Linked DNA regions of Rattus norvegicus. The protein of the gene in region 2 purifies or fractionates together with the protein of the main gene of each other region. This does not show direct contact. Links are inferred from orthologs where the notes say so. Each region holds a gene or a part of one and is shown on either strand. Other genes may lie near its edges.

What was found.
Region 1: the proteins of Iqgap1 (region 2) and Myl6bl1 purify together in Homo sapiens (affinity purification with mass spectrometry; 3 studies listed by BioGRID and IntAct, with this or other methods). This does not show direct contact. The link is inferred for Rattus norvegicus from reciprocal best matches to the Homo sapiens genes IQGAP1 and MYL6B.

The regions. Positions count from the first base shown.
Region 1 is NC_086025.1:1,496,720-1,504,015, reverse strand, and holds Myl6bl1 (myosin light chain 6B), read left to right. Parts: upstream 1-2,857; coding exon 2,858-3,095; exon of another isoform or gene 3,096-3,314; coding exon 3,315-3,458; exon of another isoform or gene 3,459-3,588; coding exon of another isoform or gene 3,589-3,620; exon of another isoform or gene 3,621-4,252; intron 4,253-4,428; coding exon 4,429-4,602; exon of another isoform or gene 4,603-4,928; coding exon 4,929-5,006; exon of another isoform or gene 5,007-5,056; intron 5,057-5,062; exon of another isoform or gene 5,063-5,119; coding exon 5,120-5,148; 3' UTR 5,149-5,401; downstream 5,402-7,296. Other genes in the region: Myl6 (myosin light polypeptide 6), read left to right, coding at 5,741-5,743, 5,988-6,015, 6,783-6,926, 7,163-7,296. UniProt on the Homo sapiens protein: Regulatory light chain of myosin. Does not bind calcium.
Region 2 is NC_086019.1:144,087,208-144,093,869, reverse strand, and holds the end of Iqgap1 (ras GTPase-activating-like protein IQGAP1), read left to right. Parts: intron 1-899; coding exon 900-1,008; intron 1,009-3,883; coding exon 3,884-3,997; 3' UTR 3,998-5,082; downstream 5,083-6,662. UniProt on the Homo sapiens protein: Plays a crucial role in regulating the dynamics and assembly of the actin cytoskeleton.

The DNA.
Region 1 (7,296 bases), on a different chromosome or scaffold from region 2:
TTTTCTTTCCGCTCTGAGACTGGATCTCACTTAGCCCAGGCTGGCCTGAACTCCCTACGTGCCCACTGACCTGTCTGCACCTCCTGAGTGCTGGGACCCAGAGCTCTATACATGGGGAGCAAGCACTTTACCAACTGCGCTACATCCCTTGCACCCGTACAGACCTTTTTACTCTTCGGAGTTTTCTCTAGCTTCTGGCTACAAAATTGGTTTATATCTCATTCTTCCTACGGTGCCGCTGGGAGTCTTCTACCCTGAGCTATTTCTGGTCCACTTTCTTGCACAAGCTCTAGGATGAGGCGCGCTGCCAGAGTTATTTATTTATGTGGTTCGGGACGGTGGGTCGGTTCCCTCTCTGCACCCAAACCTTCGGTAAACGCTAGGGAGAAAGCAAACACTCAGGCTGGGCAATGGTGTCGGAAAAGGAAGGAAAGGCTGCAGAGCCCAGCGCTGCATTTGTTGGGGATCTCCCGGGGACGAACGCGCTGCATAGGCGGCGTCAGCCGACGCCTGCACACGGAGGAAAGTCTGGAGCAGATGACCAGGCTAAACTGTAAATCTTAACATCTACCTCAGTCGCCAGCCTCTAGGCTTTTCGGCTAAGATCAAATGTGTAAAAAAATAAAATAAAAATGCGAAACTCTTCAAGTTACGTGACGCCGCAGCTAACGGCCTGAGGAAGCGAAAGCAGCCCCAGCCTCCGCCTGCCTACCGCCCGGCCCCGCCCCTGGCCTTGCGGGCGTCCCTGAGTCTGCATCCCTAGGGTCAAGGGTGGGGACGTCTCAAGCCCTTTCAATTCCGGAACTGGCGCACGCCTCAGTGTCTGAGTCAACAATTGCCACCACGGGCCGGAAGTGACCGCCAACTCTCACCACCGGGGGAAGGTTTCCTGCGAGCACGTGGGCGTGCGTGGACTACGACTCCCAGCATGCTCTGCGCCCGCCGCTGTTAACCCTTCAGGGACCGGAGCTGCCCTGAGTCCCGCCCCCCCACCTGCCCCTTCCTTGGAACCGGCAAGGTGAGTTTTGAGGGGCTGGGAGGGCCTTTTTCCTCTCTAAGGCTTAGGAGTGAGTGTAAGTGAGGGAAACTGGTGTGTTGTTTGCGGAAGGATTCCTTATTTTCCAAAAATGGGACAATTTGCAGTAAAAAGATTCTGACGCCTTTACAAATGGAAGACACACTGCCACTCTGTGAACTCCAGGGCCTAAGTGGAATGACCAGTCTCTCAGAATGCTACCTAAATCTTCTTTATCCAAGAAGAGAGTAGCCAGAACTCCCTTCCAGCTCCCAAACATCATCTCTTCCCTTTGCCAGCGCTTCCAGCAAGGTTTGTGACTCAAAGCTGAGCCAAGGTTTTTGTTGTGATCCTGACTGGTTGGGTGCCAGTGTGGATACCTACCAACTTCTTAGGAGATTCTGTAACCTTTTTGGGGTATTAGAGGGCTCATTGTCTCCCAGGGTCCTCTCCCTCTGTGTGAGTGTGAGTGTGTGTGTGTGTGTGTGTGTGTGTGCGCACACGAGCGCCTGCCTGCCTGCCTGCCTGTCTGTCTGTCTGTGTCTCCTCATCCTAGCCTCTTGTCTGATTTGAATAACATTGTCTTGTTGGAAAATGTTCCTTCTTTGGAATTATATGTGACAGATGCTAAACCTTGCCTACACTGGAACCCCTAAATCAGCATTAGGTGTAGGATTCAGTGGGTAATGCCATGCTATGGTTACAGTGCGGGGGTGGGGGTAGGTGGGGGCCCAGGGACTTCGAGTTCTAAAGATACAGGAATGAGCAGAAAGGAGTGAAAAGACCCCCTTCTCTCACCTTTAATGTTTCCAGAACATATTTTAAAACTTCCCACTTGACACTAGGTTGTTACTCTGTCCCGCCCCCATACCCCCATACCCTTCACACCCCCATACCCCCATGCCACCCCTAAGTCCTTGCTCTGCTTGGGCTTTTCCACAGTCTAAAAGTAATGAAAGCTTTTGTTTGCTTTTTAGTTTAGTTTTTTCTCTCTTCCCTTAGCTCCTATCTCAGAATCACTGGCAAACGTCCTATCGTCACCCTGGAGGTTACCAGTCCCTGTTCTGAGAAGTCCCTTGTTTCTTCCCTGTACCCTTAAAGAAAACATTCTGTTCAGCCTTAGGGGAGTGGTGTCAGGAGGAAGAATACTTTGGGGGCAAGAGCTCTTTACCACAGGCGGCCAGGGGAGTGAGGGCAGACAGGCAGAAGTTTCTTCTCCCTCACCCTTGCCAACTGGCTCCCTGTCCCCGCCGCTGCCCCCGCCCCTTGACACCCCAGACTCCCTGCCTATTTAAACAGAGATGGTGCCCCTGTCGGCACACTGCTCTTCTGCCACCTGACATCATGCCTCCCAAGAAGGATGCTCCTGTGAAGAAGCCAGCAGGACCCTCCATCTCTAAGCCTGCTGCCAAGTCTACAGCAGGGACCCCTCTAGCCAAGACCAAGGCCGAGCCAGCTGCCCCCCAGACCCCTGTGAAAACCCAAGAGCCCCCTGTTGATCTCTCCAAAGTGGTGGTGAGTCCTGGGAAGTGTGTGAATCTGGAAGGGGTAGTTCAAAGGTGCAGTGCAGCCTTGGGGATTGGGGACCGGGAAGATGTGGGAAGGGTAGGGAATGAATGAACCGCTAGAATGAGGTTGGGGCTCCCAGGCCAGGCCAGTTTCCAGGGGAGAGAGGTGCTGTCTGCTCCTGGCTCAGCTGTTGAACCCCAGGAGGGGAGACTGAAGAGGACAGACTTGTTAGACAATCACAGCTGGGGGCAGGGGTAAATTTAGCCTTTGTTCAGCCCCCAGTTATGTGAGGGATGCAGGACTGGGGTAGCGGGAGGGAAGGGAACAGGTGGTATGGGATTAACCCTGCTCCCAAGAAACCCTCCCCCTATAATTCCTCTTGGGGTGCTCCCAAAGCCCAGGGCTGGGAATGGGACTAAAGTGGCCGGGCTCCCAGCCTCATCCCTTTGGGCCCCTCCCCAGAAGTGGCTGCCAGTTGGTTGTGCTAGAGAGGGACTGAATAAGCCCTGTCATCTCCTCACCTGCCCTTTTTGTCCCCTACAGATCGAGTTTAACAAGGACCAGCTGGAGGGTGAGGAGAAGCCTGTTTCCTAAGCCCCATTGTCCAACACCAAACTCCTGGTCCGATTCTCTGTTCCCTAACGACAGTCCTGACCTTGAAACCTCCCACACTTGTCCTGTTCTCCTCCCTCCTGTGCCCAGCTCGAGCACATAATTTCTAAAGCAAACCTCCCTTCCGGCTGGAGGTGATGGGAATCCCTGGTCACATTGCCTTCTCCCTACATCTCAGAGTTCAGAGAGGCCTTTGAGCTGTTTGACCGAGTGGGTGATGGCAAGATCCTGTACAGCCAGTGTGGGGACCTGATGCGGGCCCTGGGCCAGAACCCTACCAACGCCGAGGTGCTCAAGGTCCTGGGGAACCCCAAGAGTGATGGTGAGAGGAACCTTGAGATTTGTGGGGTTTCCATCTTCTTGGTGTTGGAGGTTGAACACAGCGTTCTGCCCGTGCCACGGAGTGCCATTTCTAGCCAGCAACTTTCTCTTCATCCTGTTTTTTGAGACAGAATTTCGGTATCGCAGCCAAGAATGCCCTTGAACTCTGATCCTCCTACCTGTACCTCCTGTCTACCGCCCACTGGAGTTCGATTGCTCCAGTTTATGTGGTGCTGCTGGGTTGACTCCAGGGCCTCAGGCAAGACAGGCAAGCCCTTTATTATGGAAGTCCTTTTTTCTTTTTCCTTTTACTCAGGTTGGCCTGGAACTTACAGCAGCCCTAGTTGCCAGTTTTCTTTCTCTCTTTACACTTTTAATTAATATTCTTTAGATAGGGTTATTGGTATTATTATTATTATTATTATTATTATTATTATTATTATTATTATATAGGGTCGTCTCTACATAGCCCTGCTTAGCCTGGAACTCACTAGATAGACCAGATTGGCCTCAAACTCAGCCTGTCAGTGCTCAGACTGAAGGTGTGTGCCACCACACATGGACTAGTGTAGTGGTTCTCTCTTTGTGCTTTGCGTGTGTCCTGCCACTTCGATACATCCCTGCCCCCCCCCCCCCCCCCCCCCCGTTGAGATAGTCTTAAGTTGTTTTGGCTGGCTTTGAACTTGCCTGGTAGCTGTGGTTACAAGACTGCACTGCCGTGCCTGGTAACAGTATCAATTTTCAACAGACTTGGTAAGGTGACAGAGGACCGGGGTGGATCTCAGGACTCAAAAACTGTCAAACACAGGGAAGGAAAACATCCTCAGTGCTGAAAGGGATGAAAGTCACTATGTATAGTAAGGTTGGATCCCACACCTCAGTGATATCTCTCTCTCTCTCTCTCTCTCTCTCTCTCTCTCTCTCTCTCTCTCGCCCTCTCTTTCCCTCTCTCATCTCTGTCTAATTGCCAGAGCTGAAGTCCCGGCGTGTAGACTTTGAGACGTTCCTGCCTATGCTGCAGGCAGTGGCCAAGCACCGGGACCAAGGCACATATGAGGACTACCTAGAGGGGCTGCGTGTGTTTGACAAAGAGGGCAACGGCAAAGTCATGGGAGCGGAGCTCAGACACGTTCTTACCACTCTCGGTGAGGCAGGGCCCAGAACTGTGGGATGGAGAAGCAGGTGGACCTGGAGGAGCTGGTAGAGCCTAGATGTCTAGCAATGAGCCGAGGGCAGGGAACGTGGTGGGAGCCTCATGCCCTCTTTGCAAGCCACACTTGGGTGGATTTCATGCAAGTCTCAACCCCTGCAGCTCGTTTCTTTGTCTATCAAAGCTTTTAGCAGCTCCAAGGAACTGTTGATAAGTGCCATACAGAAAGACGACAGGGAGGGTGGGAGGACGAACCACCCTGAGAGTGGCTTGGACTAGTGAGTACGGGAAGGCAGAGGCTCTAACTGTGTTTGGGTTCAGGAGAGAAGATGACTGAGGAAGAGGTAGAGACTGTTTTGGCAGGCCACGAGGACAGCAACGGCTGCATCAACTATGAGGGTGAGGGGGCAGGATGACCAGGGGGGTGAGGAGTCTTGAGGGGGTTGGGAGTGTACCCTCGTTTACTCAAAGGTCAGTTTCTGAAGTCCTCTCCTCTCCTCTCGTGTGTGCAGCCTTCCTGAAGCACATCCTAAGCCTCTGAGCTCCGCAGCCCCTAGTGCCCTCTAGAGAGGCAACGATCCCGGTCAACCAGACAAGCGCAGGCAGTGCGTTTCCCCATCCGACTGTAGCGCAGCCGCCAGCGCTGGACAACTTTCTTTCTACCCCACCCAACTCCACCCCACCCCACGTAGAACCTGCGGGATCGGAAACTTGCCCCACCTCCTGTGCGGCCAGTAGTGCGTTCCTGCCACTAGGGGGCACTTACGGTTTTGAAATAAAAACATGGTTCCTGCTTTGGTTTCCGACTGGTTTCTTTTGAGGAAGGGGAAGGACGGGAGCGGTAGTCCTTTCTTCTGCAAAAGTCCAAATCCCCTGCTCTTAGTGCAGTTCGGAAGAAAGGCTTCCAAGAGTCACACCCTAGGCCTCCGCCGTGCTCCTGAGCAGAGTTGGAGCGCCCCCCTCACCTCATTATTAATATAGTGATGTCATCGGCATGAGCCCAAACTAGTATGCCTATTGGATGAAACTGCGGAGGGTGACGTCAAGCGCCGTGGGACGTACTAAGGTTGGGGTTGGGTCCCGAGTCGGAGCCATTACAGCCGGCAAAGGTCCCGCATAGCTCAGCAGCCAAGATGGTGGGCCCTGGGAATCGGGAGATTAGGGGGATTTGGGGCAGGGAGAGGACCGCGGGTGGGGGTAGGAAAAGCGGTGGACGTGGGCACGCCCAGGTTTTGGGAGGTTGGATGTGGGGTTGGAAGGTCTAGGGCTCTCTCTGCCTTGGGAAGCAAGTCCTCGGCTTCAAACAGAAGTTTGTTAAGCCGGGAGAGAAGTTTGCGGGATTGGACCTCAGTACTGACCAATCCCTTCTTCTCCGAGCAGTGTGACTTCACCGAGGACCAGACCGCAGGTAGGCAGTCTCTGACCCACAACTGAGGTCACCCTTACCGAGAGGGACCCCTTCCTCTAGATCCCAACCTGTCATCTCCAGCACTCCCAGGAGGGTGCCCCGTGGATTTCCTTCTCCTCGGCTCTAGATCCTCCATTTTCTTTCTCATTCTTTCTTCCTTCCCCTTCCACTCTAGATCTGAGCCCCAACCACTGGGTGAGTTTTGGGTGGTGTGGGTATGTGAAACAATGATTACTGCCTGTTGTGTGTTGGGTCTCTTATGCTTGTGTTCCGCTGCTTTTGCCTCTCCTGTGATAACTGCCCCCTCCTTAAGCTTGGATTGCCAATACGGTAAAGAGCAGTGCCTTGATATTCTGTTGAGATGGGGACTGGAGAGTTTGCTAAGCCCGTGGCTTAGCTTCACCCCCTGGAAGGTCTCTGGAAGGGAAGGGTGGGAATGGGAAGCTAGAGTCCAGACCACTGCTCTACTTCCTTATATGGGCAGGACCTAGCCTGGGCGGTGGCAAATTCCTGCCGAGCAGTGTAGTGGTGGTGGAGGGCCTAGCCTGCTGTAGCTCAGGGGGTGTGTAAGCGATGGCTACCACCTTGAGGTAAGGAAGAAGGCTGCGTGTCTTTATGCGGGGCATTTGAGTTGATAGAAATTAGATCCTTAGGCGCAGTCTTCGGTGTACAGGAGGACAAGATATCTGGTCTCTGCAGCATGCTAGAGTTGAGTTGGCAGCAGCACTGGGTTAATCCCTGGTGCTGCTGTTCATCTGAATCCTCAGAATTCAAGGAGGCTTTCCAGCTGTTTGACCGAACAGGCGATGGCAAGATCCTGTACAGCCAGTGTGGGGATGTGATGCGGGCCCTGGGCCAGAACCCTACCAACGCCGAGGTGCTCAAGGTCCTGGGGAACCCCAAGAGCGATGGTGAGCATTTCAAGACCTTAGTGGGTTCATGGTTGTTCAGGTAAAATCATCATATATGTATATGTACACACACACACGTATGTGTGTGTGTGTGTGTATGCGCCAACCTTGAGCAAGTTTTATCTCAGCCAGTTCCACTGATCTCCCTCTTCTGGCCAGTCAGTTGTGTTCTCTACCACTGTGTCCTGAGAACACGTGTGACTGCTCGTCTGGCACTTCTACCTCCCACACGACAGAGATGAATGTGAAGGTGCTGGACTTTGAGCACTTCCTGCCCATGCTGCAGACTGTGGCCAAGAACAAGGACCAAGGAACCTACGAGGATTATGTTGAAGGCCTTCGTGTGTTTGACAAAGAAGGGAATGGCACT
Region 2 (6,662 bases):
TCTGGCACTTGGCAGTCCCCCGTCTCTGACCTGGATTCATCCTCTCTGTCTGTCATTACTTCCCACTGCTATTCCTGTGCCCCTCGGTTTGGTCTCCTCTTTCTCACTTCCTGCTATGGGCGTAGAATCTAGAAACCTTACCTAGGGCATCCACACTGACTACTGCACAAGGCAGTTATCCTTAGAAAGGAGACGCCCCAAGCAGGTAAAATGAAACCAGCCCATTTCTGAGCACGGATTCTGTGAGCGCCCCATTATCCCCTTGGAGCTGTCTTGTGCACCCTTGCTGATTCCCCACTCTGTAGAGCTCCACGGAGCTCTGGAAATGTGGGTGATTCGCCTTGTTCTCCTGGGGAGCAGCACAACCGTACTTATTACTGGTGCTGTGCAGCTTCCTGCCTAGGGCAGTGTGGACTTTCCCAATCCTCAAGCACCCTCCTCCCTTTGTTCCCTACCCCCACCCCAAGACTGGGTTTCTCTGTGTAGCCCTGGGTATCCTGGAGCCCTCTCTGTAGACCAAGCTGGGATCTGTTTTCCTCTGCCACCCGAGTGTTGGGGTTAAAGGTGTGCGCCCCCATACCCTGCTCCTTTTTCTCACTAACTTTTGACCACTGCTTCAGGGAGGAAGAGCCATCTTGTCTCACCATTTCAGGCTTTTGTGACATTCCCATAGGCCGTCTTAGAACAAATTGCAAGTGCTTCAGGGAGAGGTGACCATTTCTCTCTCCAGGTGTCAAAGCAGACGACACGGCAGGATGTTCTGCCAATGGTGCCACCTCTCCAGGAGAACTTAGGTCCCAGACCTTCTTCCAGGCACCCCTGATACCTCCCTCCCCCAATCTCAGAGTCTTAGTACCTAAACACTCAAAGCTCACACATATGGTGTTGTGTTTCAACAGATTTAAAAATGTTATCTTCGAAATTGGTCCAACAGAAGAAGTTGGAGACTTTGAAGTGAAGGCCAAGTTCATGGGCGTTCAGATGGAGACTTTCATGCTGCATTATCAGGTGGGTGTGCACAGCCCTGGGCCTGAAGCTCTTGAGTGAGGTAGGAGAAAGAGATAAGAGAAGGCCCTTTGGGGAAATCTGTGTATTCAAAGAGCTCAGCTCCGAGTTGATGGGAGAAGCCAAGGGTTTGGGGAGTGGGTGTGGTCTAAAGTGCTTCAGAGTACACCCAAAGCTTCACTAGTGTGCCCTGGACTGAGCTGGTGCCCTGGCGTGAAGGAAGGGCCTGACTGTAAGTGTTAGCAGTGTGAGACTCCACGCTGTGCAGTCCTTGACCTCTGTTTTTCTTCTCATTTGTGTCTGATGTGGATACTTTGGTTAGGAATACTACTGAGAATCGCGTGAGTGCATTGCCTCTATCTGAGTCTGAGTCACATCTTAAATTCGAAATTAATTCTAACAATTTTATAACATAACAGTTTCTATTTCTAAGTGTCTTAACTTTTTTTCCTGGTGCTTAGGCCCAACCCTAAGGACTTGTGCTTGCTAGGGAAGCTGTTTCCCACTGAGCTCTATTTCCAACCCCAAATGTCTAATTTTGGGGAGTGGGAGGAAATCTTATACAGCCCAAGCTTTTCTCAAATCCACTATATATTTGAGGCTGGCCTTAAACTCTTGATTCTCCTGTTTCTCGCAAATGCTGGGATTATAGATATGTGCTACCATGCCTAACTGCCTAAACATCTAGTTTTGCACATTAAAAAATTGTACCAAGTAGGGATGGTGACACAAACCAGTAATCCAGCACTCTGGAAACAGAGGCAAGAAGATTCAGTGTGAGGCCAGCCTGGACTTCCAGGCCAGCCTGTATAGTGAAGATGATCTTCAAAATCCAAGACCAGAAACAAGCAGAAAATTGAGAGGATTCATAAGCAGTGCCCAGACCCAGCTATGTGTGCACCACATAGTAGGCCTCTTGTGGTTTCTATTGGTTGGTTTCTTTCTTTTTCTTAAGATTCATTTATTTTTATGTATGTGAGTACACTGTAGCTGTCTTCAGGCACACCAGAGGAAGGCACTGGATCCCATTCAGATGGTCGTGAGCCACCATGTGGTTGCTGGGAACTGAACTCAGGACCTCTGGAAGAGCAGCCGGTGCTCCTAACCACTGAGCCATCTCTCCAGCCTAGCTGGCTTATTTTTTGCAATGCTGAGAATCAAACTTAGGGTCTCACACATGCTCTGCTGCCCAGCTACTCTTCCAAGTCCCACCATGCCCTGCTTCCACTGCTGTGGTCTAGCAAAGCAGGCTAGTGCCTCTCTGCGAGTAAGCGTTCCAGCTCCTGCTCAGGATGCTCTGCCCTTGTGTAATTGGCCTCCCTCCCTCTCCTCCTCTCTGCCTTCTACCGCCATCAAACAGTGAGCACCGGCACTGTTGTTGCCTGCCTGCAGCCACAGCGGTGGCCCTTCCCTTTGACTCAGCAGCCCTGAGAGACATCCTCTGTTGACAGTGTGAGCTGACTCATTTCCCTGCCACCCCCAAAACTGGGAACTCCTAAAGCAGTATGTCTTAGTCATCTTTATCTCCTTGTTGGTAACCAGTAGTCTCTCAGTGCATATTAATTAGTAAACGGGAAAGGTTTTCTTCATCCATTGTAACTAAGCACTGCTACACACAGCCCCTTATCCCACTGGTCTCACTGTGCCTGCAGGCCAGCCAGTCTGCTAAGGCAACCAGAGTCAGCACATTGTCTGACTCGTCGGTGCATGGGCTTAGGGTTAGGCTAGGCAGAGAGGACACACCATGGTCCCCATCCTTGTGACACTGCAGTCCCTTCATACCCTCTCTCGTCATCACTCTCAAAAGTTTAGTGGTAGGAATGACAGTGCTGCCATATGCTGTCAGGACAGCAGAGAGTGTTAGAAAACAGCCTGTCAGACCCCATCACCCCAGAGCCAGCTCTTTCCTCCTGACGGCCGCGCCACCCAACACCCTGAGCCTCAGCAGCTCATCTTTATAAAGTTTAGATTGATCATGCTTCATATAGTTTTTGTAATGACCTGGCAATATAGAGGGGAAGGTGCCTGCACAATGCCACGCACAGGCTGGGCAACCATGACTGTGCTCCTCCTGTTTGCTTGCACCTTTCTCATGCAGAGTTGAAGCTGGAGTCTGGCAGGGCTATGGCTGTCTGTAGAGACTGTGTATTCCGTTCCCAAGAGACCCTGGGTTCAGTCTCCTCAAACAAAAGACCCCAGTAGATTGTAGAGCTGCAGATGTCGTTCTCTGTTGGTAAACACTTGTTCGGCATGCACAGAACCCTGGTTTTGATCCAGCACTGTAGAAACCGAGCATGGCAGCCATACCTGTCCACCCACCATGGAGACAGCAGTATTCGGCCAGCCTGTGCCAAAAGGGCCGAAAGGGGTTGGGGGTGGGCGGGGGTATCTAGTAGGTACGGAGACACTACAGACCTTTCTCATTTTCAGCCATTGGCATATTTCATGAATTGAAATGTCTTTAATACATGTGTATTAAAACCTCTAACCTACCTACAGCTGAAACAATGAGAAAATGCCATTGTAACTTTTGAACTAAGGCTTCAACGTATTTTAACTGAACATAACTCTTAATTTTCCTTCATATGTTTAGAATATTTTACTATAAACTAAATGATAGCCTAAGACCAAGTTAGCTTGAGGGTTCCCTCAGCCAGAACTCCCTGTTGCTTCAGCATCCAGGGTGGCTGTGCGGACCCAGGTGGCCATGTGGTATGAACCTCTGCACTGAGAACTTGTGTCTCACCTCCCCATTTTACATCTGGCACGTGAGGCCTGCCTCACCTCTCCTGGACCCTCCCCTCATGGAGACCTTTCCCTCCTTCCTTCTCTCGTTCCAGATTTGATGGTTAAATTGTTGTGTTTTGTCTTTAAACAGGACTTGCTGCAGCTACAGTATGAAGGGGTTGCGGTCATGAAGTTGTTTGATAGAGCTAAAGTGAATGTCAACCTCCTGATCTTCCTTCTCAACAAAAAGTTCTATGGGAAGTAACGGGTCACTTGCCACCCGAGGAATAAAAACAGGCAACACTCCACAGCTGTCTTTCTAGGAACCTCCATTACTCCTCGGAAGCAAAGACCTGGTCCAGCAGCCTCAGTTCACACTCCTGAAGCCCGTGTTTAAGTCCCCCCTCCCCCGACAGGCTCAGTGCCCTCTTCTATATGGTGAAGCCGGATGACTTCCCCTCAGCCCTGCTCCCCTCATTTTCTCTCATCATGTAGAAAAGAGTGGAACCCCACCCAACCCCTTTCTACGAAAGCCTCCTAAGTGGTAATTACTATTTTGTAAACATTGGTGTTTGTTTTACTTAGCAATAAGAATGGTGGAATCCAAATTCTTGTTTAGAGGTAAAAGCTGTCAGGTTGCTAGCAAGCATCCGATTCGGCATTAAGTACGGCCCGGCCCGTGAGCAGTCAGAGGATGAAGTCCGTGAAGTCTTCCATCTGCTGCCTTTGTAGGCGGAGCTGATCCAAGTTACTGCTCTCTGTTCAAATGAAGCAGCTTCAGGAGAAAAAGAGCAACTACTTTTGAATTCTCCACTCAATGTGGGCAGTACAGTTAGTGCAGAGCCCTTCCTGGTGAAGGTGAACCCCCACGGTCATGGAGACCTGAGAGACTGAGTGGGCAGGGCACTCACCATCCCTCCCACAAAGGGATGGCTTACCCTAGCTCAAAATGTAACTGTTTCTAAACTGTATTCCAGGAGTGCCTTACCAAAGTATAAATTTATTTCTTAAAATGTGAGTGATAGGAATTTTAAAGATTTATATAATGCTTTAGAATACTGAGAAAGGGTTGTTTTTTTCATTGGGTTCATCTGTATATCTGAATTCTTGAAGCTTTTCTGTAGCCTGTACTGAGGTCTATCTACCAAGCTGCTGAGCTAATCCTGCTTGATTTTAGCAACAAGAGACAACCCACATCATGCTTGAAGTTCAATCCATCTCTTCTCTGTTACCTACATCATGCTTTTATCCTGAGAAACCTGCACCCTTAAGCTCTGACTAACAAAGACAGCTCCAGACATTGAATTTGGAAACCTTTGTCCTTGGATTAAAAGTCATAAACTTTAAAAAAAATCTCTTTATTCCAAAAGATAGGTAAATCATGCTACTGAGCCTCTGATGGCTTTGATGTTTGGTTCGATATTCTTACATAAAACATAAAAATTAAACTAATTTTTATGCAGAGTTTCCATATGGATATCGAAGGCCAATAAGCAGTTTTAATTAGCGACAGTGTGTGGTCTGACCCTGTTATAAATGTAAGTCTTGGAGAAGTGTCCTTTACGAGACCCACAAGTGCAGGCCGGGCTGGAGGCCTCCGTGAGCAGATCTAGGTAGAGGCGGGGCCAAGAAAGGATCTGACCCCACAGTGACATTGTGTTTGGAACAGAGTTTTCTGAGAAAACATTTTCTCCAGGTTAAAAGAAAATGCTAAGGCTGGCGTAGTAGAAGACACTTATAATCTAAGCACTCAGAGGCTGAGGAAGGAGGATCAAAAGATCACTAAGTCAAGGCTAGCCTGGGTTACACAGCCCCGCTCAATCTCCAAAAGACAGAGAAAGAAAGAAAGGAAAAAAGGAAAAAGATCCTGTTAAAACCTCAAAATCAAGGTTAGGGGATGCGGCAAGTGTGCCTTTTTTCTTTTTCTTTTTTTTTAAGACAGAGGAGATGGGGGGCTCTGTTGTCTTGGCTGTCCTAGAACTCTGTAGATCACGCTGGTCTAGAACTCACAGAGATCTACCTGCCTCTGTCTCCCGAGTGCTGGGATTAAAGGTGTGAGCCACTATACCTGGCTTTCAAGTATGTTTTCTTTAAGAGGATGCCATTCCAAATGTCCCAGGGGCCAGCTGCAAGACAGTAATGAGCCCAGGTTACAGCGCCTTCAGATGTCTCAGTTACCTGAGAGGATGTTCCTTCCCTGAATACCCAGTAGAACTGTGCCACATGCCCTTTGAGAATCCCCATGGCTGCTGTGGGTCCTGCTTAAGCAGAAGCAGAGGTCACCCAGCTAGCGAGCCTCAGGTTGGCACCCTGAGGTCGGGCTGCGCCTACGTTATTTATTAGCTGTAGCCATCTCTGTCTTGGCTCTCGCCTCCTCTGACCTTCTCTCTGACCAGCCGTCATGACATTTACTATGAATTTACTTCCTCCCAAGAATTTGGACTGGCTGTCAGACTGTTGCTACACACAATTGCCTTTGTATCATCGTATGAAATAAAAGGTCATTTGTTCCTGTTTGTGTTTATTTTTCTTGGTTTCATTGTTAGCAGTTCCTGTTAGACGGTGTTAACTAGAGTAAGATTAAGTCACCCCCCCCTCCTTTGTAGTCTTTTGAAAAGAAGAGCAAACCAAGCCTGCCTTTGGGTCACAGAATATCTCTTGTAATTTTATTTACTGCATGGGTATGGAGCTCAGAGGACAACTTGGGAGTCAGTTCTCTGCTCCCACCATGTAGGTCCCAGGGATGAAACTCACTGATTATGCACTTTGTTAAAAAAAGGGGTGTGTGTGTGTGTGTGTGTGTGTGTGTGTGTGTGTGTGTGTGTGTGTGTGACACACACAGTCATGCGCCTGCATATCAGAAGAGGGCATCAGATCCCATTACAGATGGTTGTGAGCCACCATGTGGTTGCTGGGAATTGAGCTCAGGA